Pelodiscus sinensis: one gene and its partners. The main gene of each other region encodes a partner of the protein of the gene in region 4 in a complex. Links are inferred from orthologs where the notes say so. Each region holds a gene or a part of one and is shown on either strand. Other genes may lie near its edges.

Region 1 (8,107 bases), on a different chromosome or scaffold from region 4:
GCCGAATGCGGGTGTATCGCTTTACCGAGGAGAGATGGGCGTATGAGTAGCTGCAAGCACGCCCGGACGGGCTGGAAGCTGGGCGAGGGCGCGTACAGAGGTGTGCTGAGGATGATCCGGCTGGGGCTTTGTGTGGGAAGAGCAGCAGCCGAGTGTGTGAGCGAGCCAGAGAGCCGCACATCGGTGTGTATCGTCTGTTTGGCAAATCAATACTCCCGGGATATGGAAAGCGTCGCTTTGGGCTACTGTTTTGAACTGTGAGCCCTAAAAACCCTCGGCTCAAGCCCCATAAACCGCTGGGCCGCGAGTTGTACGAAACACCTGATTTTAATCAGCGCGCAGCCTCCCAAGTCCACACTTCCAGCTTCAGCGCTCAGGCACCAGACCTGATGCAGAAGTGAAGTCTCCTGTTCCAAGCGGAGGGGCCCCCAGCTCCCCTGCCCGGCGCTGCCGGGCCCTGGAACGCTTTCCTCGGCTAGTTCCCTTCCCGAAGCCCCTCTAGCTTGGGGGTGGAAGATTAGGTCCTGGAGATGCACTCTGCTCTCTAAGAGCAAGCTGGGCGCATGCTATAGAATCCTGTGCGTCTAACTAGCCGGGCTGGGCGCACTTCCCCATTAGACGCACTCTCGTTTCAGCTGCTACACCACAACATAAAAAACTACTCCATTATGCTCCCCTCGCTTCTCCACCGGGGAGGGAGGAAGCCTTTTAAAAACATGTTCAGCTTCTTACCTAAAAGACGATAAATAGCCAGTGTTTTCCGGGGTATTTTTTAAATAGAGGCCTGTAAGGCATAGGTGGAAAAGCACAGTGTTAAGTGCAAGACTGCTTCGCTAAGGCGGCACTCCAAGCGCTTTGTAAGCCCCGCGCGCCTTTGTACGCCGCTTTTGTGTTCACGCGGCCACATGCAAAACTGCGAGGAAGGGGTGCGTATATTCCGCACATGCACACAGCTGTGGGAGGAGGTTGGGTGTCTTAATGGGGCGTATTGAAAAAAATACAACCTCAGAGTTAAGCGGCTGGGCCTGGCCTTCGGGCTTGCGGATGTGAGTTGTGTCCTTTTAAAAAAAATTAAAAAGTGTTTGGAAGTGTCAGTTTTCAGAGGCTACGCTAAGCCACTTCACATTGCAAGGATTAAAAGGGAAGCAAACGACTGGAAAAATGCGATTTGCTTTATTATTAAGCATGTAGGGAGCGGCGGACTCTTAGTTCAGGCTGTGCTGTGCAAAATTGGGAAGAACAATTCCAACCGAAGAAGGGAGAAGCCACTGTCTGAGTGGACGCAAGAATTGGTCCCGGTAAACCACGAAAAAAAACCCTTGACTTTAAAAAAAAACCACAGACACACCAAAGATGCTACACAATACTACACCTGAATTACAAAATCAACCCTTGAAATCAACTCTTGCTATAAGAGATGTCTGTGTCTCTTTCACTTACCGGCCGGCCCCATTTGGAAAATTAAAAGTCTAAACTACAAAATAAAATAAACCTAAAATACGAGTTAGTTTTCTCCCTTTTCCCCTAGCCCCAGGGTCATTTAAGATTCTAATTCCTCCTCCCCAGCAGTTAGACACAAACTTCGCTCCTCTTACCTGGAACAGCTTTCTCCCCTCTTCACTGCCATGACCTACGTTAAAAATGTGTGTGTATGCAAAGGGGGCTGCTCCTATCGGATCCCACATATTCCTGGACCGTCCAAATATTAATAAGTCCTGGAAGAAACAGTGTGAAAGGGCTGCTACTTAAACGAGACACCGCTATTTTAAAAGTATTAAAACACAATTGTAAGGAGCACAGAGAATGAGTTTGAAATTACAGCCTCCAGATATTTTGCACAGAGCCGGAATGAAACAAACTTTTTTTTAAAAAAAAGCGCAGCTTTTGACAGATTCACTAGGCACTTAAATTCCCTACTGCACTCAAACTTTAATATTGAACCAGCTCGGAAACACAAGCAAGTATTTAAAGCTGGACTCTACAAAGAAGGTGGAAGCGGTGGGGGTAGGAATAAAACCACTCTCTTTTCTACAGGCAGCCAACTCCTCGTGTGAAGATTCAGCTTTGCAAAACAGAAAGTAAGAAAGAAAAAGTCCAGGAGAAAAGGGGGGGGGGGGTGAGGATAGAATCTGCCGCAAACCTTAGACGTTGAAATTCCAAAATCACAACCTCTAGAAAGAGACCCCCTTAGAGCCCCCCCCCCCCCGACTTCCTTGCCCCCCTCCCTTAGCTGAGCGAGTCTAAATCTTTCTGTGTCAATGTCTTCCCCGGAGGAGTCTGCGAATCCAAAGCCTTGGTGAAAAAAGGATCCATTTTGATACAAATTCTTTTCCCTTCTTCTCTCACTCTCTCTCCTAACTAACTGTCCCTTAGACTGCTGGGGTCTCTCTCTCACACAAACACCAAGTCTCTCCCTCTCTCTGGATTCAGAAGGCTGGTGCCAAACGCAGACCTCTAGCGCCCACTATTTCAAGAGCCAGGAATATTTTATTTCACAAGACTTGGAACGACTCAATAAAAAAAAGTTGCTATCCCCTTTCGTCAACTTTGCAGCGAACTTTCGCTTCTCCCCCCCCCTTTCGTTACCAGCTCTGCTCTCCTCCAGTTCCTCTGGGGTGCACCCCAGCAAAGCGCTTCTGGGGTGCAAGACAGACCCCCCCCCCCAGCCCTCAGGAAACCGCCAGCCGCCGCTCGGCTCCGCACAGTGCGTCTCCGGACCCAGCCGCTCACACACACCCAAAAGGGGTGGACAGCCGGGCTCTCTCATCTGGGCGCTAGGCAGGAGAAAGGGCACGAAAAGGGGGCTCCGGCCCCCCCCAAGCGACTCGCAGCGCCCAGCCCGCCAGCGGCGCAGATCCTGCGGGACCCCGGGGGGGAGGGGGACCCTGGAAGCGGAAGAAGGGAAAGAAAGGACCTACTTTTGGGCAGCTTTCTCGCCCTCGCCTTGGATCTCATCTTGTCGGCTTGTGGCTTCTTCTCCTTGAGCCCAGAAGCAGCTACACACTATCTTCATCTCCCGAGCATTGTCAGTTTGGACACCTTCGCACATGCGCACAGAGCATTCAATCTGACACCCTCGCCAGGGCCAAAAAAACTTTCCAATGTATTCATCACCATCAGGGGGTTTTTTTTGGTCCTATCCTCTTCTTCAGATCACTTATCTCTCCCCCCCCCTCCCCCCAGCACCATCACAGCCTTTCCTTGATCTGCCCCTTTAAGAAAAATCAACCCTCTCCGCGCCTAACCCTTTGCACACCGACCTTCCCCACCGGACAATATTTAAGGATCAAGGTCCCATCCTAGAAAGAGGTGATTATTTATTATTAATTATTACTCTTCTTTCATAGCAATGGTATGGCACGGAGATGGGGGGAGGGTGTGCTTTGCGAATGGCGAGTATTTAAAACATGCTTTTTTAGGCATTTTTTAAAAATGATTTTTTTTTAAAGAAAATTCCTATAACTTTTCTTTAGACGCGCAAAAAGAGTTGTGTGCAATTCTTCTCCCCTCCCTTTGATTCGGAGTAGTTGCGTGGTTATTTAAAAACATGATTTGGGATTTGCACCACGTCGTCGTGCAATGGTTTTCACGAGGCATTTTTTTTTTTTTTGCAAGACCGTTGGAAGAATTGTCTTTACTATTTCCATTTCTAAATTCTGAGGTGTGCACATTTTCAGGAAGCATTGAAAACAACCCCCGTTTTGATACCTTTTCCGGGTTTGGCGTGTGTGTATGTGTGGCACTTGTGGCTAGCAGCGTCCTTTCTTAAATTCAGTGTACACATTTACACAGGGCCAGCATGTTACCTGTTAAATAGAGAGGTAACCTTGCTCTTGCTAATAGGGGAATTGGAATTGTGTTTGGGTGATTAGCACAGGGCGGCTGCGTTTAGCACCTGATGCAATCACACTTAATCTGTATTATTTGGCATGGTTTGTATGTTTCCGCTCTCTTTTTTCGACAATTAATTAAGACCAAATAATAGGTTAAACGGTACCAAACTCAGCTCGCCGGTGTTTTTAAAGGAGGCTGGGAATTAGAATGCAGGGGTGTATTAAAGAGAAACATCTGTTCCCATCTCCATTTGTGCCTTTGCTTCAAAGCTCTAGCAGGTAGCTGAGTGTGGATTTCAGAAAGATCCCAGATCGTTTCTATGCGTTTCTTTCTCTCACCCACTCCTCCACACACTTTGGGGGGCGGGGGGGGGGGGAATCTCGACCTTCTGTGTGGACTGGTCCATCCCGTTCCTAGGTTGTCCCTCCCTGGACTGAGAGATGCTTTGCTTTCCCCATCCCCTGCCCGCCGAAGGGGGTCTGCGGAGGAGCAAAGACCCTGATTCGGAGCAGTCTCCTGCTTTTGCCTTGCAGGTCCCAACGCAGAGCCAGACCCCGGACGCCCCGTAACAATAGCGCTCGCCTCCTCGGGAAAATTAAAAACCCTGCTTCTGCCCAGCGAGCGCTGCCCAGACCTTGGAGTTGTCCGTGATCCCCGGAAGCGGAGGCAGCGACAGCTCAGACAGCCCCTCTTTGAAGAAAGGAGCGAAGAGTAAATAGCCCGGTGATTGATGGGCTGCCTTTGACTGCGGAGAAAGCGCTATTTTCCTTCAAGTGGCCAGGTCAGATGGTCACGGAAGAAGGTTGAAAGGTAGGATTTAATGAGATTAATATGGAGGGAGAGCGACTTCATAAACATTCAGGAACATAAGCGGACTGGGAAGGGGTAGAAATCCTCGGATGTGCCGAGCCACATAGGGATCCGGCGACCAGAGGCCTCCCACTCCAGGGCAAGCCAAAAACAAAGCGAAAAGTTAGCCAGAGCTTCGGGCTTGCTCCTGGAACCCATTCTGCCAGCTGAACTTTTGCACTGCAGGTGGAAGGGGGGGTGGAATTAGTCTGGCTAATTATTGGGTTTCCTCTCCTCGACGCGCGCTTTAATTGCAGAGGGAAGCAGGGCCCTACTTATTTAGTAATAGATGGGGAGGGAAAAGGAGACCATTTTAAAAAATGTAAATATAGGGCAACTTCCAAGCCTGGGTCGCCAAAAGCGCTGACATTCCCACTGTGGATCGCTCGCTTGCAAATGTATCAATATTTAGTCCTTGTGTGGACCCGAAGGGTTGAAACCCTCATTGTGGGGGGCGCTGAAATGTTGCCACTGTTGATCTGTCGTTTCAAAGCGGTTGAACTATTTCCTAGCCAGGCTCTAGGTATCTTCCACGCCCCTAAAATGAGCTGGCAATAAACTAAATGTCTGGGTTTAGTCTGGGTTAAACTAACTGCTCGTAGTTATTTTCTCCTCCACCTTACTGGCCATTCATTGTGTCCGCAAAACAGCCGTGGGGAGGGGAGACCCCCGTCCATTTTTTTCCGAATGGCATTTAAAAAAAATCCGATTGAACAAATATTGATATAAGCGTGCAGCCCAATTGACACGAGGATTGGAGGAAGAACAGCGGAATAATTTTAAATGAAATTTCTCGCCGCATAGGGTTGCTAATTGCACGCGGGGTTGTTTTAAAAAAATAATAATTCTGCGTGCAAGTCATTCTTGGCTGGCGGTCGAATCTACAAGGCGTATCGTGCACTGACTCCTTAGCAAGACGAGCATTACAACGCACATGCATGAAATAGAACCAGCTAACTTTTCAATCCAGGGAGCCGCAAACGGCAGACCGTGCTTCTGTTAGCTGACACATTTAACAACTGTGCTAGACTCCAGCTGTCGGGCTGAGTGAAGGGACCCTCAGGTGCGTAGCAAGAGCTTAATCTACTCGAAACGGTCAGAGATCACTTTCACCTGGGAAGAGAGCACAGCAGAATCCTAAGGATTTTATATACCCCCTCCCCCCCCCAACACACATACTATTTCCCTATAAAGCCGGCTAGAATGCAAGAACCTCAATTAACACCGATTGCACAAAGGTGTCACTGGAAAGCCTGTTCCTTGGCTTCGCAACTCTTAACCATAAATCTTTCGATTGCCAAAAGTGTAGCATCCCGGATACCTAGAGGTGTGTTCCTTCCAGAAACAACACAGCAGCTGCCTTCCCCTAACCGCTGTACCCGACTGGCCTGGCCTTGAGGGTTTTCTCGGGACAGATTCCTAGACAGTACGGGGGACTCGCCGACCTGTTTTCTGAAAGCATTAATTTTATTTATTAATTACAAATTAAGCAGGAAATGAAACTGCAAAGCAAACGAGCTGGTGGGCTGCGAACTAAGAAGCAAAGAGGCTGGGAGTAGCCTTTAGCTTGACTGGGGAACGATTTCTTTCCTTGTCCTTGTATTTACAACGCTCCTGTAGTGAATGTGATCCGTGCACTATTTAAATGTTGTAACCAAGATCAAACGGATTTCTCTTCAGGGTCCCCCAGCCCTTCCTCCTCCCCCTGTCCATCTGACCGACAATAATTTACAAAAAAGGAAATATCCCGTGTGGAAACGGGGGGTGCAGTTTTCCCTCCCTCTCCCTCCCCGTCCGAAAAAAACCCCCCACAACAGGTACAAAACTGACATCGAATTTATCCAAGAGCATTTGTGAAAGGAGGAATTGCGGGAGGAATTTTTTAAAAAAACAAGAACTAATCCCCAAGTTTAGTGCGTGTACACATTCTGAAATTATTAAAATTGTGTTAAAAATGCGAAGTGTGCTTTCCGGATTGGGTCACAAGACCCCCCCATCGCTTTTGTTCCAGGGAACAATTTGTTTTAAGTCAAACATATTTCGAGTGTATCATTCTTATAAAAAAAAATCGAGGCGTGATGTCCGTTTACACGGCGCTCCTTCTAGGTTATAGTTCGATTCGCTGCGCAAGTACAGCCGGCTCGCAGCCTGCTTGTGTACGCTCTCGCATGCCTTCCCCTAGTCCCTGGTGTGTTCGCCCGCACAGAGCACGGCGTGTTTTGCTGCATTTCAGACTTGACCTCGGGTGGAGGGGGGAGAAATCGGACTAACGACCCAAAGCTGGGGCGTAGCAAATCCCGAGCTCCAAACTATGAAAAAAGAAGAAAGCTCTGTAGCCCTCTTGCATGCCGATTCTGCGGCTGGCTGTCAAAAACCCGACCTCCCCGGGCAGAGGAGAGCAGACGCAGGACCGGGTGTTGGATTGTACAAAGGAATCCATCTGATCCCGTTTTGCACCTGTTTGAATTCGTATCGCTTTCACGGATCTGTGTGTGGGGGGGGGGGGGGGGAGTGGTCCCCTATTCCTTGCTAGTCTGCTGGGGAAGGGAGTCACATGTGGCCGCCTGGCCTGGCAAGGTTAGCCCAATGAATAACCGTGTGTTCTCCCCGCAGCCGGACGCCCCGCTCCCCCGGCGAGCTCGGTGCCCTTTTACACCGATTTCAGAGGACGCAGACTGGGCGGGTGAGTGGCTGAGCAGGATACAGAGAATCCCTGCCCAGCGCTGGGGGTGCCACAGTCGCTCGCCCGGATCCCCATGGGCAAGCTGGGTGCATGCCCGCAGCAGGTTTCAGGCTTGGGCAAAGCTATTCCCCGCGCCCCGGGGCAGGATCCGACTCGCGTTCCTCCCCGGGAAACTCGGGCCTTTGGGAGAAACGAAAGCCCCGGAGGCGGGGAGAGGAGCGCACCTTCTGCCTCGGAGACTCGCTTTTGGCCCAGGCGGTACAACCGGGGGCAGGAGGAAGCTGGGGAGGTGTCTGCCAGGCACCCAGAAACCAGCCGGGGCGAGATGGCCACGTGAAGACTTTCTTAGGCTCTGCCGCCACCCCTCTTTCCACCCGAGTCCGAATCCAGCCGGGGCGAGTGTCCACACGCGCGCGCGCCGGGGCTCGAAGGGGGCTACTGGAGGGGTTCGAACTGGGCTGGACTTTCGGCACTGGACTTCGAAGCGGCGCTGCAGGCGACACTTTGCGGCCAGGATCCTGGCTTGACCTCCCCCCCCCCCCCGCCAGCCCGATTGGGGCAGCGGCTTTCGGGGTGGGGGTTTTTTTTGCGCCCCCGGCAGCTTGTCAAAACAGGAGGTCGCCTTTCCCTTCTCAAGTCGGGAAGCAGCTTAAAAGGGCTAGGAGAGGGTGGCGGAGCCGCTGCTGTCTCCTCCCGAGGATTTCGGCACAAACGCCGATTGTTTCTGTAGGGAGATTACTC
Region 2 (7,605 bases), on a different chromosome or scaffold from region 4:
AACAACGCTTCTTGTACCCAAGCAAAAGATCCCTGTAGTGCCCAAAATCCTGTGGGGTTTGCTCATCGTGTGGTTTACCAGTGAATGACTGTGGTGTGAAAGTGGGGATAGGGGGTCCTGAACCTGGGGGCTTATGAGGATGGCAGCTTAAAGTACTGTTTAATCCAGCCCACGGAGTCCAAAGGCACAGGAGGGTGCAGTGTGGCATTGCTGTGAAACCCAGCCAGCTGAGTCCAGGGACATATGAAGGGGTCAGCTTGTGAGTGCTGAGTACCCAGTCCTCTCAGACGTGCTCTGTTAGTGGGTGTGAGTGTCTGTGTGTGTTGCTAAGGTGGGAAGAACCCCATCCTGAGGAACCTAGTTCCTGCAGGAGAGCTCCAGTGGGAGGGGGAATTGGCAGCAGGGAGAATTCAGCTTCATATGAGAGCCCAAGTAAGCACCAAGAGCACACTGATAGAACTGTCAACTTTCCCCCAGTCCCATAAGGGTAACCCTGATAAATGAGCATACCCCAAAGTATTGGGCAAATCTGGTAACAATGTGGCAGAGAAGTCTCCGGGGGAAATAGGGATGGGGAATGCATTGGGGTCAGCTTGCTGGTGGGGCTGCAGACAGGCTGCTGAGCCAGGGCTGCCTAGCACACACTCGCGGTGTGACCTGTAGGCTAGCTATGGACATCCCAGGCTGCATGGGGAGCAAAGATACCCGGGTTACAGGGTAAGTGGGGACAGACCGTGACTGGACCAGCACCCAACCCCCAACACCACCCACATGATCACCCTGCCCTACAAGGCACAGGCTCTGTGGCTGTCTTAGAATGAATCAGCCACTGGGCATAGTGTAGCTGTGGGGTGGGATTGTCTTTCAGGGCGTGGCTGGGGGGGAAGCTGGAATCTCAGCATAGATGGCTGGGGGGTGCCCGCCCTGCCATCTGGTATCACCAGTGTTCTCCAGGCAGACCCACAGGGGTATAGAACCCACCCTGCTTCTCGGTTTCCACCTTCGTAGGCAGCATGGTGACAGGAGCCAGGAACCCTGTGGAGAAAGGTCGGGCATCAGAGAGCGAGCTACAGAGACACAGGCATGGAGAGCAGGGTGGGCGGCTGATGGGTTATAGCTGGGGGAAACTGGGAGTCAGGACTCCTGGGTACTATCTTGGCTCAGGGGGCAAGGAGGGGGCAATAAAACCCTGGTCTCCTGATCTAACCTCCCTCTAAGCTCCACAACCTCCTGTTAAGCCCCACCAGGGGGCTCAGGGCTGCAGTGGAGAGAGATGCCTCTCCCCAGCCCCGAAGCTGCCACAGTCGGGGGAGAGGTGACCCTCCCGCAGCCCCAGCCCAGAGCTGCTGCAGCCAGGGCAGTTCTGTGCTGGGCTGGCAGGGAAGCAGTAAGTAGCAGGTCCCGGGGGGAGGCTCTACACCAGCTGCGCATTCCCACTGGCTGGTTCTTGTGGTGCACAGGGGTGAGAGCAGTGCACATGGTGCACAGTGGAGCCTCATGCCCCTCCCATCCCCTGGAGCTGGACATGCTGGCTGCTTCTGGGGCCCAGAGGGGTGCCCCAAGAGGCATGCACCAGGCCTGCCTTAGCACCACAGGCCAGGAACCACCCAGGTAAGCCCAAGCCCCAGCCCCCCACCTGACCCCTCCCAACCCAGACTACCACCTGGACCCCAAATCTCTCATTCCTGGCCCCACCCCCAGACCGGAGCCTGTACCCTCTCCTGCACTCCAAGCCCAGGCCTCAGCCCCTCCCCAAATTCCTCATTCCCAAGCCCACTCCAGAGCCCACATCCTCGCTGGAGACTTCACCCCCTCCTGTACCCCAACTACCTGCCCCAGCCCAAAGCCCCCAATTACACCTCCTCAGCCTTATCACTGCCACACACTGTCCCTGTGTAGAATGACTTGTGTGACTGAGTGGGGAAGTGCAAAGAGGTTGCACGCACAGAGGAGGCACTCAGCGTCCCTGGGTGTTACTGGTTTAACAAGGGGAGAAGAGGGAGTTTGTTGTTACAGGGGACAGTACAGGAGACCCCAGTGACTGGCAGGCCCAGCTCGGAGGGCAGAGCCAGGTCTGGCCAGTGGGAGGATAATGGGTTGCAGAAACAAGACCTGGGTGACCTGCTCAGCTTGTTCCAGCGGGGTGGGGAGTGGGGAGCTGGGGGGAGAGAGAATAAAGAATGGAGAAGAGAGCAGAGGGGCCCAGGCAACCCTATTTTTCTGGACTGAAGACAAAGGCTGCGGAGGGGACTCAGCTGGAAGAAGGGAGCTTCTGAACTGGAAAGGGAGAGTTTAGGCAGAGCCCACTCAGCTGCAGGGGAGACTCAGACATGCTGGGCTGAGAGGGGCCAGGCCTACAGGCCTGAGGGTCCCTTTGTTGTGTTCAATAAACCCTCCTGTTTTACACTGAGAGTTGCTTTGGTCTGGAGAACAGGGCTGAACTATTCCCTTTGGGAGTGGAGGCCCTGGGGGCCTACAGCAGAGACAGGTCTGCTGAAGGCCTCTAGAATCACTGTCCCAGGAGACAGAGGGGCAGACCCCAGGGAGAGAGAGGACTTGCAGATAAAGGGCTGTCACACTGGAGTGGGTTCTGCCCAGGGACGGTATGGGCCAAGTGTGGGCGTGACCTGTGAGTGTGTGCCATAATTGTCTCCTCCATATGGTGCATATAACAAAAGTAATTCCACACACAGACATAAAACATTGGAGGGAACACTGGTCCTGACCCTTTCATGATGAATCCAGTTGCCAGATTTTTCAAAAACGACAAACTTCATTGGCCCTCAGAAGCCCCAGATAGGTCAGAGCCAGCCTGGTGTGCTCAACACCTGAGGAACAGCAGCAAGGATGGACTGACCGCCCAACCCGCCACTGGGCAAAGCTTTTCTTTGGCCTGTTTTTCTAGCCGCTGGGCAAAGCCACACAGAGAAACTGAAATGGGCCAAGTGCAGAGTAAGCCAAGTTCTCCAGCAGATGCACTGAAGTGGACAAAACCTCAGGGAAAGGTGCAAGCCCAAAGCCAAACAGAGTGGGAGGGAAGGGGGCTGGATCTTGCAGATGCTTTTCTGCCTCAGGACTGCTCAAACCCTGGACAATCGTCAGGATTTCAGGGCTTCTGGCTCCTTGCAGTTGGCACCACTACCTTTTTTCATTTGGGGCACATTTCCTTGGGGAACGTGAGCCAGCTACCAAAAGGAACAGCAGAGCCAGAACTGGCCAAGCTTGCAGTGGGGGACAGTGCTGCAATGACCCACCCCCTCCTGCCTCTCACATACCCCGCCCCCTCCCCGCAATGACCCACCCCCTCCTGCCCCTCACATACCCCGCCCCTCCCCGCAATGACCCACCCCCTCCTGCCCCTCACATACCCCGCCCCACCCCCCCGCAATGACCCACCCCCTCCTGCCCCTCACATACCCCGCCCCACCCCCCCGCAATGACCCACCCCCTCCTGCCCCTCACATACCCCGCCCCACCCCCCCGCAATGACCCACCCCCTCCTGCCCCTCACATACCCCGCCCCACCCCCCAGCAATGACCCACCCCCTCCTGCCCCTCACATACCCCGCTCCACCCCTCCGCAATGACCCACCCCCTCCTGCCCCTCACATACCCCGCTCCACCCCTCCGCAATGACCCACCCCCTCCTGCCCCTCACATGCCCCTCCCCACCCCCCCCCGCAATGACCACTCCCTCCTGCCCCTCACATACCCCGCCCCACCCCCCCCACAATGACCCACTCCCTCCTGCCCCTCACATACCCCGCCCCACCCCCCCTCAATGACCCACCCCCTCCTGCCCCTCACATACCCCCGCTCCACCCCTCCGCAATGACCCACCCCCTCCTGCCCCTCACATACCCCTCCCCACCCCCCCCGCAATGACCCACCCTCCTGCCCCTCACATACCCCGCCCCACCCCTCCGCAATGACCCACCCCCTCCTGCCCCTCACATACCCCGCCCCACCCCCCCCGCAATGACCCACCCCCTCCTGCCCCCACATACCCCTCCCCACCCCCCCTCAATGACCCACCCCCTCCTGCCCCTCACATACCCCGCCCCACACCCCCCGCAATGACCCACTCCCTCCTGCCCCTCACATACCCCGCCCCACCCCCCCGCAATGACCCACCCCCTCCTGCCCCTCACATACCCCTCCCCACCCCCCTCAATGACCCACCCCCTCCTGCCCCTCACATACCCCTCCCCACCCCCCCCCGCAATGACCCACTCCCTCCTGCCCCTCACATACCCCGCCCCACCCCCCCTCAATGACCCACCCCCTCCTGCCCCTCACATACCCGCTCCACCCCTCCGCAATGACCCACCCCCTCCTGCCCCTCACATACCCCTCCCCACCCCCCCCCGCAATGACCCACCCCCTCCTGCCCCTTACATACCCCTCCCCACCCCCCCCGCAATGACCCACCCCCTCCTGCCCCTCACATACCCCGCCCCACCCCCCCGCAATGACCCACCCCCTCCTGCCCCTCACATACCCCTCCCCACCCCCCCCGCAATGACCCACCCCCTCCTGCCCCTCACATACCCCTCCCCACCCCCCCGCAATGACCCACCCCCTCCTGCCCCTCACATACCCCGCCCCACCCCCCCGCAATGACCCACCCCCTCCTGCCCCCACATACCCCTCCCCACCCCCCCCAATGACCCACCCCCTCCTGCCCCTCACATACCCCGCCCCACACCCCCCGCAATGACCCACCCCCTCCTGCCCCTCACATACCCCGCCCCACACCCCCCGCAATGACCCACTCCCTCCTGCCCCTCACATACCCCTCCCACCCCCCCTCAATGACCCACCCCCTCCTGCCCCTCACATACCCCTCCCCACACCCCCGCAATGACCCACCCCCTCCTGCCCCTCACATACCCCTCCCCACCCCCCCGCAATGACCCACCCCCTCCCGCCCCTCACATACCCCGCCCCACCCCCCCGCAATGACCCACCCCCTCCCGCCCCTCACATACCCCTCCCCACCCCCCCGCAATGACCCACCCCCTCCTGCCCCTCACATACCCCTCCCCACCCCCCCCGCAATGACCCACCCCCTCCTGCCCCTCACATACCCCGCCCCACCCCCCCGCAATGACCCACCCCCTCCTGCCCCTCACATACCCCGCCCCACCCCCCCGCAATGACCCACCCCCTCCTGCCCCTCACATACCCCTCCCCACCCCCCCTCAATGACCCACCCCCTCCTGCCCCTCACATACCCCTCCCCACACCCCCCGCAATGACCCACCCCCTCCTGCCCCTCACATACCCCTCCCCACCCCCCCGCAATGACCCACCCCCTCCCGCCCCTCACATACCCCGCCCCACCCCCCCGCAATGACCCACCCCCTCCTGCCCCTCACATACCCCTCCCCACCCCCCGCAATGACCCACCCCCTCCTGCCCCTCACATACCCCTCCCCACCCCCCCCGCAATGACCCACCCCCTCCTGCCCCTCACATACCCCGCCCCACCCCCCCCGCAATGACCCACCCCCTCCTGCCCCTCACATACCCCGCCCCACCCCCCCACAATGACCCACCCCCTCCTGCCCCTCACATACCCCTCCCCACCCCCCCCCGCAATGACCCACTCCCTCCTGCCCCTCACATACCCCGCCCCACCCCCCCTCAATGACCCACCCCCTCCTGCCCCTCACATACCCCGCTCCACCCCTCCGCAATGACCCACCCCCTCCTGCCCCTCACATACCCCTCCCCACCCCCCCCGCAATGACCCACCCCCTCCTGCCCCTTACATACCCCTCCCCACCCCCCCCGCAATGACCCACCCCCTCCTGCCCCTCACATACCCCGCCCCACCCCCCCGCAATGACCCACCCCCTCCTGCCCCTCACATACCCCTCCCCACCCCCCCCGCAATGACCCACCCCCTCCTGCCCTCACATACCCCTCCCCACCCCCCCGCAATGACCCACCCCCTCCTGCCCCTCACATACCCGCCCCACCCCCCCGCAATGACCCACCCCCTCCTGCCCCCACATACCCCTCCCCACCCCCCCCAATGACCCACCCCCTCCTGCCCCTCACATACCCCGCCCCACACCCCCCGCAATGACCCACCCCCTCCTGCCCCTCACATACCCCGCCCCACACCCCCCGCAATGACCCACTCCCTCCTGCCCCTCACATACCCCTCCCCACCCCCCCTCAATGACCCACCCCCTCCTGCCCCTCACATACCCCTCCCCACACCCCCCGCAATGACCCACCCCCTCCTGCCCCTCACATACCCCTCCCCACCCCCCCGCAATGACCCACCCCCTCCCGCCCCTCACATACCCCGCCCCACCCCCCCGCAATGACCCACCCCCTCCTGCCCCTCACATACCCCTCCCCACCCCCCCGCAATGACCCACCCCCTCCTGCCCCTCACATACCCCTCCCCACCCCCCCCGCAATGACCCACCCCCTCCTGCCCCTCACATACCCCGCCCCACCCCCCCGCAATGACCCACCCCCTCCTGCCCCTCACATACCCCGCCCCACCCCCCCGCAATGACCCACCCCCTCCTGCCCCTCACATACCCCTCCCCACCCCCCCTCAATGACCCACCCCCTCCTGCCCCTCACATACCCCTCCCCACACCCCCCGCAATGACCCACCCCCTCCTGCCCCTCACATACCCCGCCCCACCCCCCCGCAATGACCCACCCCCTCCTGCCCCTCACATACCCCTCCCCACCCCCCCTCAATGACCCACCCCCTCCTGCCCCTCACATACCCCTCCCACACCCCCCGCAATGACCCACCCCCTCCTGCCCCTCACATACCCCTCCCCACCCCCCCGCAATGACCCACCCCCTCCCGCCCCTCACATACCCCGCCCCACCCCCCCCGCAATGACCCACCCCCTCCTGCCCCTCACATACCCCTCCCCACCCCCCCGCAATGACCCACCCCCTCCTGCCCCTCACATACCCCTCCCCACCCCCCCCGCAATGACCCACCCCCTCCTGCCCCTCACATACCCCGCCCCACCCCCCCCGCAATGACCCACCCCCTCCTGCCCCTCACATACCCCGCCCCGCAATGACCCACCCCCTCACACACTCCGCCCCTCCCCCCACAGCCCCTCTTGCCCCTCACAGCCCCCGGCTCTCACCTCCCTCCGGCACCCGCTGCTGGTGCTCCTAGGAACTGCCCGATTGTGACGATGGCCCCAACCCTCTGCTCCGCTCTCACTGGAGAGCGGAGCCGCCAATCATCAGACGACATCCAATTAGCGCCCAGAGAATCTGGCAGGGCACGCTGGGTACTGTAGTCCGCCTCGTGTCCGCGGGCCGCGCTTTACCTCCTGGGAAGTGTCGCGCATGCGGCTATTTCGAGCGGGAGGAGTACGACGGGAGCTGTGGGCAAAGGGCTCTACGGCTCATGGGCTATGCGATACGGAGACTTGCGGCGCACTGCCCCATGGGAGTCCCTGGCGCACTGCCTCACGGTAGTTGTAGTCAAAGCATTTCCTCAGCCTCAGAGCGCGCTAAAAGAGGCGCGGGGCACCTTGGGAGCCTGCGCCTCGCGGGAAGCGTAGTCCGGACCCGCCCACAGACGCCTGGCCCGCCATT
Region 3 (7,831 bases), on a different chromosome or scaffold from region 4:
AAATTGGTTATTACAAATAATTACAGCGTGAAACATTGCAGTCACAAAATAGAGAGAAAGAAGAAGAAATGAAGAATTGTTCAGGGGTTAGAGCCCTAGGTGAATACTTGGGAGACTTGGATTCAGGATCCCATTTTGCCACATACTCCCTTGGGCATGTATCTTTGTGCTTCTGTGCCTCAGTTCCCCATCTGTACAATGGACTAGGGATGTAAGCGACTAATCAACTATCTGAAAAGCAAAAGGTTATCGGATAGTTGACACACTAGTTGACTAATTGCTTTCCTCAGCTGCTGCTTCTATCACAAAGAGGCAGCGGGAGGGGGGGAGAGGGAGAGAGGGTTTCAAAGCAGACTCCCCGCTGATCCTGGGCTCCATGCAGCGCTTCCGCTTTGAAATGTGCAAGAGCCCCAGAGATTGAAATGCCACATGGAGTTCAGGATCAGGGAGGAGTCCACTTTGAAAAGTACAAGAGGCCCAGCTGAAATGTACAAGAGTTCCTGCAGTGTCTCTTGTACATTTCAAAGGCAGAATGTCATGCTAGTCCTTATCAACTAATCGAACAGTCGATGGAAATACCATTGACTATTCAATTAGCTAATTATATTTAACATCCCTACTTTCTATCTCATAAGTGGGTTCTGAAAATGAATAAAATATTGTAAGTTTCTCAGGCTCTACAAAATGTAGGCCACAGAAAGTGTGTCAAGAGAAAGGGAAATTTTCTAATGATAATTTAGAAGTGGGAGGCAAGAAGCCTATCCTAAATTACGAGGGCTATAGAGGGAAAGGGCTTTCACCAGAACGGCTATAAAGTAGAGAGAATTTTTAACAAATACACACTTAAATGGATTTTTGTACTTTCATCAGTATTTTGGTTTTACAAAATGTACACATACACAAAGTTTTGAAAAATTTAGCAGGTCTTTTCAAACAAAAAAGGTCACAATCTGGACTACTATGAGGCACACGGTAAGTACTCTGAGGGGTTTTTTGAGTGATTCTACAATTGTACAGTTCAGCTGGACTTTAATGTTTTCATGCTGGTTTTGCAGCATGAAAAGTCTTCTTTTCTTTTTGTCTTTGAAAAACAAATGCTTTAAATCCAGCAAATGCAGAGTACGACTTCCCATAGGCAGTTAGTTTGAAGTATAATCTCTGAAACTATAGTGATTTACTGGCTAATGTACACACACAAAATTGCCCCATCTGCTGGATGGCCTACTCACATTTTTGTTGTATAACTCTTTCTTGGCAATTCTGCGAGAAGAACTAACAGAGGTGTTGCTAGCAGCTCCATAATTAAGGACAGATTCCATTTCTCGCTTACAGCAGGGATCTCTGTCTCTGTTTTGTATAAATAATACATTGTATCTTCCACAAATATACATGGATAGTTTAAATTTTCCAAAGATTTTCAAACAAATCTGTTAATTAGCAGGCCCTACCTCTTAGACAGAGAATGCTCTCTTTCTTCATCAGATTCCCAACAAAGCAGGGATCCCCTCTATATTCAGTAATGGGCCCCTCGCTTTATTCTTATGAGTCTGAAATTGCCTAGTTTCATAAACGCCTAGATTATACAGGGATATAAAAGTAGACATCTGCCCTGAGTCCTGATACTCTTTTCCCTGGGTGTCAGGTGCTGTTCCATGTAACATTTAATCATGGCCTTTCTTGAACCTCTGGGATCTTCACAAACAAGATACTATGTTTCTGCACCATCAACCTCCTCCTCTAGGTACAGAAGCAGTCCTCCCAGCCCCAGACAGGAAATGAGTCAAAGCCAGACACTGTATTAACATCATCCCTTGATGAGGCAATGGTTCGATCTATACTTTCTCATCCACACATCTACAAGAGCTTCCACACATCTACAAGAGCATCTGCTCAAACATGTAGCTGATTCTCTTGCAACACTGGTGGAGACAACACAAGGTCTTGGACATTCTTTTTGCTGTCATACCGGGTTGTTTGTCACTCCTTATTACAAAAGGCCAGTAAAGCACATCTGGTAAACAACTGTATCAGTACCTCTGACTTCTAAAAAAGTCAGCTAAGAGGTACTGGGTATCATTTGTCAGATCTGAGTATCTGCACTCACCTCTACCTTACTTAGTAATGGTTATGGTGGTTAGTGAAACAAGCCCACTGCAACAGAAAGATAACTTCCAGAGATTTATTCAGATGTAAGAGTTACTCATCTACTGGCCAGTATTTCTGGATTGCTAATTATCAGGTGTTACTGGTGCTGATTTTTAAAATTACATTAAATTTTCAGATTTGACATCTCCCTGGAGAACAGACTGGAGTTTAAATCTTTGATTGCTGATGAACAGCTGGTAGCCAGGATGACCCTCCACGCAGCAATGGATGCCTCTGAATTCAGCCTCTGATTCAATGACAATGTCTATCATTAGGAGTGTGAAAGATCTTTCCCCCCTTTTTATCCACTTCTGCCCCCTTAGTGATAGACATGTCCCTGCTGAGATAGGGAGCATATCTGGACCATTATCAGGCTCCAGTTCTCCAGACCCATGAGGATACCTGACTACATATGAATATTGCAGGGCCCAAAGTGGTTCACAGAGACTTTTGCATTCCTACCAATTGTCCATGGACTGACCATTCAAGTTATAACTGGAAACATGTTATATAAATGGGCAGGGAGGATCCCTTTGATGTAGAGAATGCTCTAGAAGATATTTTTTGTCAAGCTGTGAGTGGATGATCGAGGATTCTGTTATCCATCAAATCTTCCAAGTGCTGGGTCATCCTTTTGTAGACCTATTTCCAACAGCCCAAGAAGATGAAATGTATCTATTTCTATTCCAAAGGAGGTCTAAGCCCAGGATTCCTGTCTGATGCATTCCTCACTCAATGCTTCCTATGGATGATGTATGCTTACCCTCAAATCCCTCTGAGTCCTAGCATGCTCAGAAAGATAACACAAGATAGTAATAGCAACTACTTGGCTCAGGTAGTTTTGGTACCTCCTGGAATTGATGCTCTTATCATTTCAGTCACTAAAACCTTTTAAATTTGACCAGATTTAATACCTCAAAACTATGGGAGCATCTTATCTCTACATCCATCCTCCCTCTTCCTCACACTCACAGCTTGGCTACTTACTGGAGATCAGACACAGAGAGATCATGTTTCTCTGATGTCCAGAACATTTGATCTACAGTAGAAAAGTTTCCAGACTAACATAGGCTGTTAAGTACAAAAGATTCAGATTTGATGAGAATGTAAATTACAACCTATTGATTCCCAGACCCCTAATTCTTGGACTATTTATACTCTATTAAGCACTTGAAACTATCTATGAGAGTGCACTTGGGAGCCATGTTCACACATCACTCCATCCCCTCTTCAATGCTAAAGTTTTTCTCTGCCTCGCTATGATCACATTTTTAAAGAGCCTTATACAAGCTTTTCTCCCCATGAAGGGAACCTCCTTCATTGGACTTTAACGTTGTGCTGACAGGCTTTGTAAGCTGCATTCACTCCATCCATTTAAGCACTTACCAAATTGTTACTTACTGCATGTGTCTATGAAAACATCCTTAACAATGGCAATTACATCAGCTAGATTTGGGGAAAATGTAAGCTCTCATGGTTGACCTTTTCTGTACAATATTTCATATGGGTAAATCATTCAGATCTCTCCCTGAATTTCTGTCCAAGGTAGCAATGGGTTTCCATTTGAATAAAAAGTTTTTTGTCAGTGTTTCCCTTAAAACACTTACTAATCAGGGAAAGGTAGGGTGTACATCACAAGTTCACAGGGCCTCCTTTAATTCACTAAAGACCAAACCTGCCACAGTTTCCGCAAGATGATTTGTAATATTTGCCAACAGCAAGGAATGTCAACCAGTATCTCCTCTGAGATGACTCACGTGAACGTGGAGTACCTTAGGGCCTGTTACAAGTTAGCTAGTTGAAAGCTCTCTCACTCAGACTAGGGCTCACACCCACTTGGGGTTCCTCAGGCCCTATCTCCCTTAAGTGCTGTGGAAAGAGCACCATCTTCTTTTGGGGGCGTGCTACTGCTCTCGTCCAGGGGCACATCCCCCCATGCACATGGTAGGGCAGGGTGCGTGCAACGTTAAGAGTGGGATGGATTTGCACAAGTGCCCAATGATGTACGGAAAGTCTTATCTTATGAAAACCCATAGGCTCTGTCTGTACAGGGGGGTTCTGGTGCAAGAACACGTCCACGCTGCCACATGCTTTTGTGCGAGGGCATCCATGGCAGTGTGGATGCTCTCTTGCGCAAGAAAACCCTGCCGCGCGTCCGCGTCCACACTGCCCTCTTGCGCAAGAGGGCTTACACTTGTTAGAAAAGAGTGTAGCTCTTGCGAGAAGCCCAATGCCGCAGGGTAAGCCTTGCACAAGAGCGGGCGGGCCGTGTGGATGCTCTGCCGGTTCTTGTGCAAGAACCCACCAGTGCAAACATAGCTTTATTGAAGTGTGGGGGGGGGCACCCCTAGCCTGACCCACAGCGCCTGGAAGGGGTGAAGGCAGGGAGGGCCCGTTCTCTGGAAGAGCCAACAGAGAGAAGCCTGGAGCCCTGACTCCCGCCCAGCCTCGTGTCCACTCAGCACTCCCCCTCCCTTCCCTGCCCGCCTCAGCGCCCCCCACCACATTTGGTTCTGCCCACTCGCTCCTCTTCCCCCCCCTCCCCGTTTGGTTCTGCCCGCTCCTAAGCAGCTTCGAGTCCTCAATTCCTCCCCCGCACCGACGCCGCGGGCGCTTCACCCTCCCAGCTCCGGTTTTTTGTCCCCGGGCGGGCTCCGTAGCGCGTGCGGCGGCCCCTCCCCTCTGCGGCTCGCTCGCTTCTGCTGCGCGATTGTGCGGGCGAGAGGCGGCGGCGGAGCGAGCGAGCGACCCAGGCGGCGGCGGCGGCAGCGGCTCGGCGGCGCCATGGCGGCCGCTCTCAGCGACATGGCGGAGCCGGAGGGGCTGCTGCCCGGCGAGGCGGCGGCGGGCGAGGAGGAGGAGGAGGCGGCCGGGGCGGCGGCGGCGGCGGAGTCCGAGGCGCTGCTGCTGCTGCCCGGCGAGGCCGAGAGCATGTCGGAGCCCAGCCCGGAGAGCGCCAGCCAGGCCGGGGACGGGGAGGACGAGGAGGAGGAGGAGGAGGAAGGCGGCGAGGAGGAGGCGAGCAGCCTGGTGGGGAGCAGCAGCACCAGCAGCGGCTGCTGCAGCGACGAGACCCGCTCGCTCAGCCCCGGCGGCAGCAGCGAGGCCGACGCCAAGGAGGAGCCCAAGGGCCCGCGGGGCAGCCAGGAGGACGGGCTGGGCCGCGGCGGCGGTAGCAGCAGCAGCAGCGTGTCCAGCGGCGGGGACGAAGGCTACGGCACGGGCGGAGGGGGCGGCAGCGGCAGCAGCAGCTGTAGCGCCACTTCGGGGGGCCGGCGCGGGAGCCTGGAGATGTCCTCGGACGGGGAACCCCTGAGCCGGATGGACTCGGAGGACAGGTCAGTGCGGGCCCCGCGCCTCGGCAGGCTGGGGGTAGCCACAGCCCTGCGGTTGCTCCGCGGCCGGGGCTTGGGATCCTCGGCCCTCCAGCTCTTCCCTCAGCCAGGATTCACCCTTGAAATCCCGCACGGGATAGGGGCCCTGAGACGCCATCTCCTGGGCCTCCGGCACACAAGAGCTCCTCGAAATTCACCTCTCTTAGCCCAGAGAGACATGGAGCAACACCAAGCCACCGTCACCCACACTCCTGCCCCATCTCCCAGTCTGGGGCAGTAGGCAGCCAGTACAGGAAGGGATGGGTGGGGATTTCCTAGAACCGAGAGTAAGGGTTAGGAGCCGCCAGGTGGGTTGTGTATTCCTCCTGAACTGACCCAGCAGACGGAAGAGAGGTCTCGATACTTTTATTTGCATGCTGATTTTTTGCATGGTTAGTGCTCTCTCCTGAATGATTCTAGTCTTGCCAAGTTTAATGATAGTGAGCAGAAAAGTCCACAACTTCTATACTTTCAGATATCTATTTGGTCTTAAAATCTTTGTTTCTTCCTGAAAGTTTTTCGGGAAAAATCTCTGGTCAGGTGAGATTTCTTGCCGTATAGAAATCATTAACTTATTTTGATAGCCACTCGATTTGGTTCCTTCCTAGTTTGGTGTGCAAGAAGCCCAGCCTTTAAATAGTAGAGTTTAACTACTGTTTCCTGGGATGCTAATATCTCTTTCAAAATACTTTCAAGTGTCTCTAGTTGTATTTTGTGTTTAAAATGCAAACAGCAGGATCTAAACCTCAAAGATCAAGTGCTAAAGGTGTTCTCCATGTATTACAGAGAGAACATAAAGAAGCAGCCTGTCTAACTGTAGGGGGGAAATTTTAGTTTACTTGATCAGCATAGATTGTTATCTGGTATGTGGAAAAACCTCCTCGTGTACCAATCTTTGCTGTGTAAAATATTAGTTTTCTTCATTTAAAAGCCACACAGATTGATAATCCATGTAGTTAGTAGACAAGGTAGGTGAGGTAATTTGTATGGTGGACCAACTCTTCTTGGTGTAGTGATCTTTACAATTTTTTCAGGACTTGAAATATGTATGTAACTGAATCCAAAGAAGGATGAACTTTTTCGATTCCTATATAGATTTATCTTTTACACTAAATCTTTAGTTAATTCCTTTTTGTAAATGAACAATGAACTTAGCGTGCAGAACTGAATATTTAAAAATACTGTTTTGGCATGATTTAAGTTCAAAAACATAAAACTAGCAGCTCATTGACTGTCAAGTGCTACCACACAAACTAAGTGATAGGCAAATAGAATAAGAAATGCTAAATTAGTTACTTGAGTCACTTTACTAGTCCAACTCTCTTCTGGAGCTGCTTAATGAGTTTCAGAATGGCTTAATGATTCTGTAACTTTGATTATATGTGGTGCTTTGTGTCCTTGACACATGTATAGATCATTGCCCATTATTATTTTTACATAAATATGTTTTTAATTTTACTTAAGTGGAGAAATCTGGTTTATTTGTTCATATAGAGGAGCAAATGACAAAACAGTAAGGTTCTTAGTAGCATTTGAAAAGTTATTTATTTAGGTTTATAATGTGCTGTGTTTTTATCACTCCTAACAGGACATGATAGTGTGTGTGCGCGCGTGGGGCACGACGACAACCAAACTATGTTAAAAGCTTAGTTGAAGAAAAGCTTAAAATGTCCGTTCAAATACTGCAGAAAAGTAGCAGATGAGATTGATGTCAGTATATTTGAGTATTGACAACCTCTAGTGTTCAAATCAGCCACCTCCAAATCATAGAATTGACTTGAAAATCCTGATGATTTAAGAAACAATATTTTGGGTGCTTTGCATTTACCTTCTGCGTCATATGCTTTTAGTATGTATTGGTGTCATGTTTTCATTCCTTTTTCAAAGTGGAATGCTAGAAACTTTTTAAATGAGATTCTCATTTAAATTGCATAGAATCTGGGAGTTTGGGGCTTTAAAATATGAAAAATCAGTATTGCCAATCCACACAATTTTACTACAATGTCTAGCAATATTTGGTGTTTTTTTTAATCTAATGTAAAAACCACTTCATGTGTTTGAGTGACTATCTCGACTATCTCCTGGCCTAGTAGATACTGGAACACAGATACGAGCTAACTAGCCTGGTGCAAGTTAAGGATATTAAGAAGTGGGTACTTGACTAATTGTGTATTCAGTACAATTTGTTTCGAGTACCCGGTTAGTCAGTAAGGGGCCCTGCTGCAGCTCTGCCGTTTAAATGTAATAAGAGCCAGCCATGCAGGCAGCCTGGCTCCTCCTACATTTAAACTGCAGAGCTGCAGTGGGGGTAG
Region 4 (7,112 bases):
CTCACTCATTTCAGTATTGTCCCTGCTCTCCTTCTGAGATATGGAAGCAAGGTTGTTTGTGGTGTAGAGATTTCCTATCTCAGTGGTCACCAACCAGTAGATTGGGATCTATCGGTAAATCTTGGAGCCTCAGACAAGTGATCCTGATGGGTTTGGCTGTGAGGCTCTCAAGTGCCTGCAGCACTTTAGCTGTCCCCCCTCACTGCCCAGCTGCTCCTGCCCAGAGCCCCTGAGCTGCTCCAGGAGCCTCCTGCTTATTGTGCAGAATGGGGGAGACAAGAGGCAGGGAAGCATTGATGTCACTCTGTCCCCCTCTTCTGTACCCCATCTTCACAGAGTGAGGAGGGTGAGGCCTTGCAGAAGGGGTGAAGCAGGGGTAATTGGGTTTCAGGTAGATCCTGGACTGAAATTCAAAGAGTGAGCTTGTGCTTAAAAAGGCTGGAGACCACTGTCCTCTCTCATACTGGAGTCCTTATAGCATCAAAGTTCACTTGTTTTCTTTGCCCATCTATAGTATCTCTGATATTCCCCCAAGGAGCTTCTAGTGGAGTAAAGTCTTGAGGTTTATTAGCACTTTGAACAAGCAGAAGATGGAAAATAAATTGGTTCAGTAATTTAGGGGGATGACAGTGATTACTTTTAAGTTTGTCTCTGGGGTAGGATGGACAGGAAGAGATCAGAGAACAGTTATACAGCCGGTCCTCGAGTTACGAACACGATCCACACTTACGAACAGTACGGCCGCATTTAAACGAATGGGGTCCGACTTACAAACAAATGGAGTTACAACCAAGTGTTTGGTACGTAACTTGTCAGTAAGCAGGGGACCGGCTGTACTTTAAATAGAGGTGAAAATATTCTGCCAAACAGCAGTTCATTTTTTAAACAAAAAGGAGTGGAGATATTGGTTAACATGGTGTGCCGTAACAGTCCTCAACTCACTAAGGATAAGGCAAGAGCACAAATTGCTGGTCATGGAAGACAGCAACTACAGAGTCTTGATGCAATGTGAAACGCGATAGTGACTTTTTTCATCATTCAAAAAGTCAGAGGATAAATTTACCTTGTTACATCAGGAAGCCACTGAGCAGTCAAGCTGGGCCACTCCAGAGCATGGGTCATTACCAGATCATACAGGAAAGGAGTGTTCTTTTTCCAAATTTTATATTCCTCATTGATCACACGTTCCTCCACCGCATCATCAAAGGCTGCTAAAGTTTTTTAAAGATGCACAAAAATATGGACAAGTATTTATAAATGGTCAACAAGACAATGAATGTACATGGGGAAGCTTTTTTGGGTGGGGGGGGGGTCATTGACCCACAGAAGAAGAAAAAAGTCAGTCAGGGGCCACACACACAGGTGAGAACAAAAACAAAATCTTCACACACCCTGACGTGGCCGCAAACTGAGAAGGAGAAAGACTCCCCACCTCTCCTCTCACACACCAGAGCCTTGAAAGGGCCCAGTTTAGTAGATTGTGTGCTCCAGCTCTGCAGTGGGGGGGGGGGGGGGCTGAAGCACTAGCACAAACTCCCCAACATGAAGCAGGGGGGCCCTGAGCCTCAGGGGCTGGATCCAGGCAAGCCAGAGGACAGTTCCCTGTGCATGCAGCCCCTGTGCATGAGGTTCCCCACCCCTGGCTTATCTGATAGCAACACTACTGATGCATACACCATACTTCCACAAAAAGCCAACTACTAGATTAAAAAACTCCTGCAGCACATGCAATCACCTCTCTCTTCAGATAAAGAAGTCTAATCTAGAACCAATAGTTGTAGGAAGCAATACAAATTAAATACACAAGGAAGCAATGCCTGGGCTCACTTCATACTAGAAACAGCCCCATTAAGGCTACTAGTCCTAAATCAACCAATAGAGTCCTGTCCATCTCTCTTTGTGAGACAGATGAGTTGAATCTACACCTACCAACTCACCCTTCACTAAAAGTTACTTTAAAGAAGGTGCAAAGCTCTCCACAATTTAGAGCAGCATTTTTTTTTCCTGTAAAAGTGGTTTCATTGAACATTAAAAAATAAATCTCTTTAATACTACGCAGGTTCGAGCGACCTAGGAATCCCATAAAAACGCCAAAGTAAATATGGGATTAGACTCCAGATTAAGGATGCAAAACCCCAATTCATGTGTTAATTGGTTAAAAGTGATGTTTAACTAGTTAACCGCTTAAATGGGACCAGATTGAGGCGCACCCATGCTGCTCCGGTCGGACCTGCCCGTCGCATGCTAGGCTTGAGCGTCCCCCACCTGCGGCAGACCCCGCTGGGCGGGAACAGTCCCTGCCCGCATCAGGCCGGGGGCTGCTCCAGGTTAACGGTAACCGGGGGCAAGGGGGATGCTGACCCGTTCAACATCCCCAAAGCAGCCTGAGCGAGATCGGAGCCCAACACGCAGACCGAGGAGGTTTGGGGGCCGCAGGTGGCAGCCTCCTGGCCTCCCCTCGGGGCAGAGCGCGCAGCAGCAGGGGGCGGCCCAGGGAAGCGGGGGGGGGGCACGAGCCAAGCGCACTCGCGGCCCATTGCAGCCCCCCAGGGAGCGCGGAGCGGGAGCGCATCTTGCGCGGCCCCGCAGTGGGGGGGGGACCCCGGAAGGGAACCTCCTGGAGACCCCCAGGTGACCCCCCCCCACTGGAGCAGGCCCTGGCGGGGACGGCGCGCCCGAGGGAGGCGGGAGGGGGCCGCGGCCTGACCCCCCCCCCCCCCAACAGAGACGCGCGCGGGTGGAGACACGCCCCCGTCCCCAGCCTCGGAGCGGAGCCCCGCCCCCAGCCCTTCCGGGGAGGGCTGTGTCTCGGCGGGGGGAAAGGGGGAGCAAGGGGGGGGGCTCAGAGCAGCTCCCCAGAGACCGAGGGCGCGGCCCCTCCCCCCGCCACTGAGGCAGCCCCTCCCCCCGGCAGGTTCTCCACAGCCTGAGGTAGGAGCACAGCGCGCGCGTCCCCCGGAGGGGGGAGGGGCCCCCAGCCGGCCGGGGGCCCGCGCCTCAGCCCCGCGCTCTCGCCTACCCTCCTTGTCCGCCATGGCGAAGGTGCAGGCGGTGCGGCCAGCCGGCTCCTCGCCTCCCTCCGTCCCCGCCAGCCGCCGCTCTATTGTTTCCTGCCCCCTGCGTGCGGCTCCGGCGCCGCGCGCCCTTCGCGCCATCGGCCGCCAATCACAGCCCACTGCCCGGCCCGCGCGGCCAATCCGAGCGCCGGAGCGGGCTCGGGGGGGGCGGGTCCAGAGGGGCGGTGAGCGCGCTCTCCGGATCACGTGGGAGGGGGGAAGGCGCTAGCGGCTGAAGTTCCCCTGGGAGCCGCCATTTTCCAGTGTAGGGCATCTAGGGGGACATGGACCCTGGCTCGTGCGCAGGTCTTCTTAAAGGGCCAGTCACCAACCAGTGGTCACCTGCATACAGACACTATGGCTGTGTCTAGACTGGCAAGTTTTTCTGCAAAATCAGCTGCTTTTGCGGAAAAACTTGCCAGCTGTCTACACTGGCCGCTTGAATTTCCTCAGAAGCACCGACGATCTCATGTAAGATTGTCAGTGCTTTTGCGGAAATACTATGCTGCTCCCATTCGGGCAAAAGTCTTTTTCCGAAAAACTTTTGCACAGAAGGGCCAGCGTAGACAGCTCAGCTTTGTTTTCCGCAAAAAAGCCCCGATCGCGAAAATGGTGATCAGGGCTTTTTTGCGGAAAAGCGCATCTAGATTGGCACGGACGCTTTTCCGCAAAAAGTGCTTTTGCGGAAAAGCGTCCCATGCCAATCTAGACGCTCTGTTCCGAAAATGCTTTTAACGGAAAACTTGGAAAACTTTTCCATTAAAAGCATTTCTGGAAAATCATGCCAGTCTAGACGTAGCCTATAGAGTATCAACTTCTAGCCCTTGTGTGTGCCTCAGTTGGGGTCAGCCTGGGGGGTGGGATAAGCCATTGCACCCCCTCCTGCAGGTACCACTGTGGAAAACTATTTCCAGATGGGCATCCCTGCAACGCTCTGGCCTGGCACTGCATTAAGTGCATTTCCCCTAATAGCTGGGGTCATCCCGTGTCATTGCATGGACGTGTCCCATCTGCCAGTACTATGGTACTCATCTGAGCAAGTGACCGAAGGGTAAAGCCCACCTAGTGTTCCAACACTACTACCACTATCAGAGGGGTCGTCGTGTTAATCTGTGTCTGCAGAAACAATGAGGAGTCCTGTGGCACTTTAGAGACTAACAGATTTATTAGAGCATAAGTTTTCGTAGGTAAAACCCACTTCATCAGATGAATTGGAACGCAAGTTACAAAAGCAGGAGTATATATAAGGGAGAAGTTACTTGTGTTAATGAAGCTAATCAAGCCAGGGGGGGAAAGTGGATTATTCATACGGTGATCATATTTTCTGAACCAAAAAAAGGACACATTGGCCACGCCCCCAGCCTCATTAGCCACATCCCCTGATCTCTTAGTCCCTGCCCACCTGCTACATAAAGTCCCACCCCCGGAGGTAGTACTTCCAGGGTTAAGATGGACACATGACTGGAAGTAAAGGGTATCGTGTGACGCCTCTAAGAACTCCTCCCACTGTCCTCTGCCAATAGGGATGGGTTTGGCCCCCATAGGACCCTCCCATGCAACCATACTGAAATTGCATTAATCCAACTTGCATTGCATTAACTCGGGGGAAGAGGCCAGGGTTGCCTGTATTTCAGTGGCTCTCAAATTTTTTGGCCCATGAACCACCTGGCTCAGTGTAAACCTTTCTGCAGACCACCATTTGCTAATGGAAACTCACTGTGAATTACGTAATTACTCTCAAGCCGTTTTGCTAGTGCTGCAGCTAGGGAGAATGGTTTGACTTAAATTGTTAAATAGATTAAGCGTTTTAACTTTCTTGTGTTAGTTTATCAAACTTCATTTTAAATACAGTAAAATATTAATTTATGACCAACACAAAAGGTTTCAATTTTTTCTTTATTTATGGCAGGGGGGGGAACCTTTTTTGGGTTGGGGGGCCACTAACCCACAAAAAAATCAGCTGGGGGCCACACAAGCCAGAAGCAAAAAAATTCCTCCAAAAACCCCCAACCCACACTGAGCTGGCCCTTAACTGAGACACCTCACTCTTCTGGCATCCTAGCCCCACAGGGTGAGGGGATGGGACCAAGAGGAACGAGGTTCAAGGAAAGGATGTTAAATTGCGGTTATCAAGCTAATCGTGTAGTTGAGGGTAGCTTCAGGAGCTGGCTCAAGCTGAGACTCAGCAGTCCTGGCTCGTGCCGGGTCTGGGAGCCACCCAGACTGCAATTCTGCATTTTAAATGTAGTAAGAGCTGCCGGACTCTTAGTACATTTAAAATTCAGAGGTGTAGCAACCAGCACGAGCCAGGAATGCTTGGTCCCGGCTTGCGCTGAGTCCAGCTGCCCCTGTTCACGTCAGACAGCCCAGGCCACTGTGAACAGGGGCTGCTTAGCGGCAGCAACCCCGTCGTGAAGGGCTCAGCTCCTTGTTGGCCTGAGCAGCCCCTGCCCATGGTGAGCCTAGGCTCAGGCGTGGAAAAAAAAGGGGGTTCCGTGTGCAGGACAGGGCTGCCAATGTGTGGGATAGGGATGAGGTTCAGAATCTGGGAGGTACGTGCAGAAAGGGGAGAGGTTGAGACGTCTGGGTGGGAGGTTGGGTGCAGAGACAGGCTGGGCATAGGGTCCCTGACCAGAAAGGAGGGTGCAGGAGTAGTCTGGGGGTAGGGTTTCTGGCCAGGAGGGAGGATGTCTGGCCAGGAAGGAATGTACAGGAAGGGGTTTGGGGTAGGGTGTCTGGCCAGGAGGGAGAGTGCAGGAGCAAGGGAGGGTGTCAGAGCAAGCCAGGAATGCAGGATCTTAGAGGGGGGAGGGGAGTGAGTGAGGGGGATTTGGGTGCGGGGCCTTAGCATGAGGGGGGTGCTTATCTGGCTTGGCACCCCATTGCAGCAGGGAAAGCCTCCAGACTGCACGCTGTCATTCCCCCTGCAGGGGGGAACAGAACAGGAACTCAGTCCCCCCCCACATGCAGCGGGGATCCCAGTGCATCCACGGGGCTGCAGCACCAGGTCAGGCTTCCCACTGACAGAGCATGGGGGTGTGTGAAGAAACCCCAACATACCTCGCCAGACCAGGCTCACTGCCATTCCCCCAGCGGGGCGGGGAGGGGTGCGGGGGAGAGAGAGCGGCAGCCCGCCCCAAGGATTCTGCGCGTCCCCTGCCGGGGCTCAGGCAGCAGTTCAAAAGTGCTAAAGTTCGGGAGCGGCTACTCAGACCTTGGACCCGGCCATAGGGTTGCCAGATGGTTTCAATAAAGATACCGGACACACTTGATATGACATCACAATCTACATTACATCTTATTTAGAAAATACCGGACATTTCTATTTTCTCGTTTCTATTTTCTCAACTTGTTTCCCGAACAGAAAGCTCAAATACTGGACTGTCCAGTTCAAAACTGGACACCTGGCAACCCTACTCAGCCACCCTCTCTCTCCCAACATGAGTGGCTGCTGTAACAAGCCACCGCCTGCACGTGTGGAGGAGGAGGCTGTACAGCTGGACCCGGACCCCATCTGACAGAGGCAGTCCCATGGAGTAAGAAGGGGGCTGTGCGGTGGTGGGGCAATGGGTGATGAAGTGGTCAGAAACTACGTGCCACCAAAAGCCCGCCCCAGCTGGGAACACGCTGTTGATGCTGCGCCGCACCTGGAGCAATGGACTCACAGTCACTTCTTCCCGTTTGAGTCCCCGTCAAGTAGTGGGGGACTTTCCAGCAGGGCTTTCCAGGACATTTCACTACTTGATGCGGGACCAGGAAAGAGTCCTTTAAATCAGGACAGTCCCGGAAAAATCAGTATGTATGGTCAACCTAGTTATTCATAGTATTTGACGTGGAGATGTGACTATTCAGAGAGGGGAAATTGCCTTTGTAATGAAGTTCAGGAATGGTAACACACATAAACCTGTAGGGATACATTTTAACCTCCTTGGACAGTCAGTAATGGATTTGAACGGATTTAAAAAACCGGATACAAAGGGAGACAGCTGACCTGGAATTCATTTACAAATTCAACACTATCAATTTAGGATTGAATTAGGATCTCAACTGGTTACC

The links.
Region 1: the proteins of RBBP4 (region 4) and PRDM16 are in contact, whole or in part, in a crystal structure (PDB 6BW4), measured with the Homo sapiens proteins. The link is inferred for Pelodiscus sinensis from reciprocal best matches to the Homo sapiens genes RBBP4 and PRDM16. Residues at the interface, in NP_005601.1 of Homo sapiens: Ala39, Leu40, Glu41, Trp42, Pro43, Leu45, His71, Thr72, Ser73, Asp74, Glu126, Asn128, Arg129, Glu179, Tyr181, Asp198, Val229, Glu231, Asp248, Glu275, Asn277, Phe321, Glu395, Asn397; in NP_071397.3 of Homo sapiens: Met1, Arg2, Lys4, Ala5, Arg6, Ala7, Arg8, Lys9, Leu10.
Region 2: the proteins of RBBP4 (region 4) and LIN37 are in contact, whole or in part, in a crystal structure (PDB 7N40), measured with the Homo sapiens proteins. The link is inferred for Pelodiscus sinensis from reciprocal best matches to the Homo sapiens genes RBBP4 and LIN37. Residues at the interface, in NP_005601.1 of Homo sapiens: Thr37, Ala39, Leu40, Glu41, Tyr98, Asp99, Ser100, Glu101, Lys102, Gly103, Glu104, Phe105, Gly106, Lys114, Glu116; in NP_061977.1 of Homo sapiens: Asn112, Thr113, Pro114, Leu115, Tyr116, Pro117, Arg120, Arg124.
Region 3: the proteins of RBBP4 (region 4) and AEBP2 are in contact, whole or in part, in a cryo-EM structure (PDB 8VMI), measured with the Homo sapiens proteins. The link is inferred for Pelodiscus sinensis from reciprocal best matches to the Homo sapiens genes RBBP4 and AEBP2. Residues at the interface, in NP_005601.1 of Homo sapiens: Ala6, Phe8, Asp9, Asp10, Val12, Glu13, Glu14, Arg15, Val16, Ile17, Asn18, Leu45, His71, Gly106, Gly107, Phe108, Gly109, Glu126, Asn128, Arg129, Glu179, Tyr181, Glu231, Asn277, Lys317, Asp318, Phe321, Thr338, Asp339, Arg340; in NP_001107648.1 of Homo sapiens: Asn378, Lys379, Phe397, Phe398, Asp399, Thr402, Ala405, Ile406, Arg409, His476, Ser478, Pro490, Asn491, Ile492, Tyr493, Arg494, Thr495, Met496, Pro497, Arg500, Lys502, Arg503.

The regions. Positions count from the first base shown.
Region 1 is NC_134733.1:20,850,246-20,858,352, reverse strand, and holds the start of PRDM16 (histone-lysine N-methyltransferase PRDM16), read right to left. Parts: upstream 3,057-8,107; 5' UTR 2,956-3,056; coding exon 2,919-2,955; intron 1-2,918. UniProt on the Homo sapiens protein: Binds DNA and functions as a transcriptional regulator. Displays histone methyltransferase activity and monomethylates 'Lys-9' of histone H3 (H3K9me1) in vitro.
Region 2 is NC_134734.1:5,191,138-5,198,742, reverse strand, and holds the start of LIN37 (protein lin-37 homolog), read right to left. Parts: upstream 3,168-7,605; 5' UTR 3,153-3,167; coding exon 3,143-3,152; intron 1,036-3,142; coding exon 982-1,035; intron 1-981.
Region 3 is NC_134711.1:114,664,408-114,672,238, forward strand, and holds the start of AEBP2 (zinc finger protein AEBP2), read left to right. Parts: upstream 1-4,739; 5' UTR 4,740-4,929; coding exon 4,930-5,483; intron 5,484-7,831. UniProt on the Homo sapiens protein: Acts as an accessory subunit for the core Polycomb repressive complex 2 (PRC2), which mediates histone H3K27 (H3K27me3) trimethylation on chromatin leading to transcriptional repression of the affected target gene.
Region 4 is NC_134735.1:3,390,197-3,397,308, forward strand, and holds the start of RBBP4 (histone-binding protein RBBP4), read right to left. Parts: upstream 3,179-7,112; 5' UTR 3,156-3,178; coding exon 3,020-3,155; intron 2,932-3,019; exon of another isoform or gene 2,804-2,931; intron 1,212-2,803; coding exon 1,064-1,211; intron 1-1,063. UniProt on the Homo sapiens protein: Core histone-binding subunit that may target chromatin assembly factors, chromatin remodeling factors and histone deacetylases to their histone substrates in a manner that is regulated by nucleosomal DNA.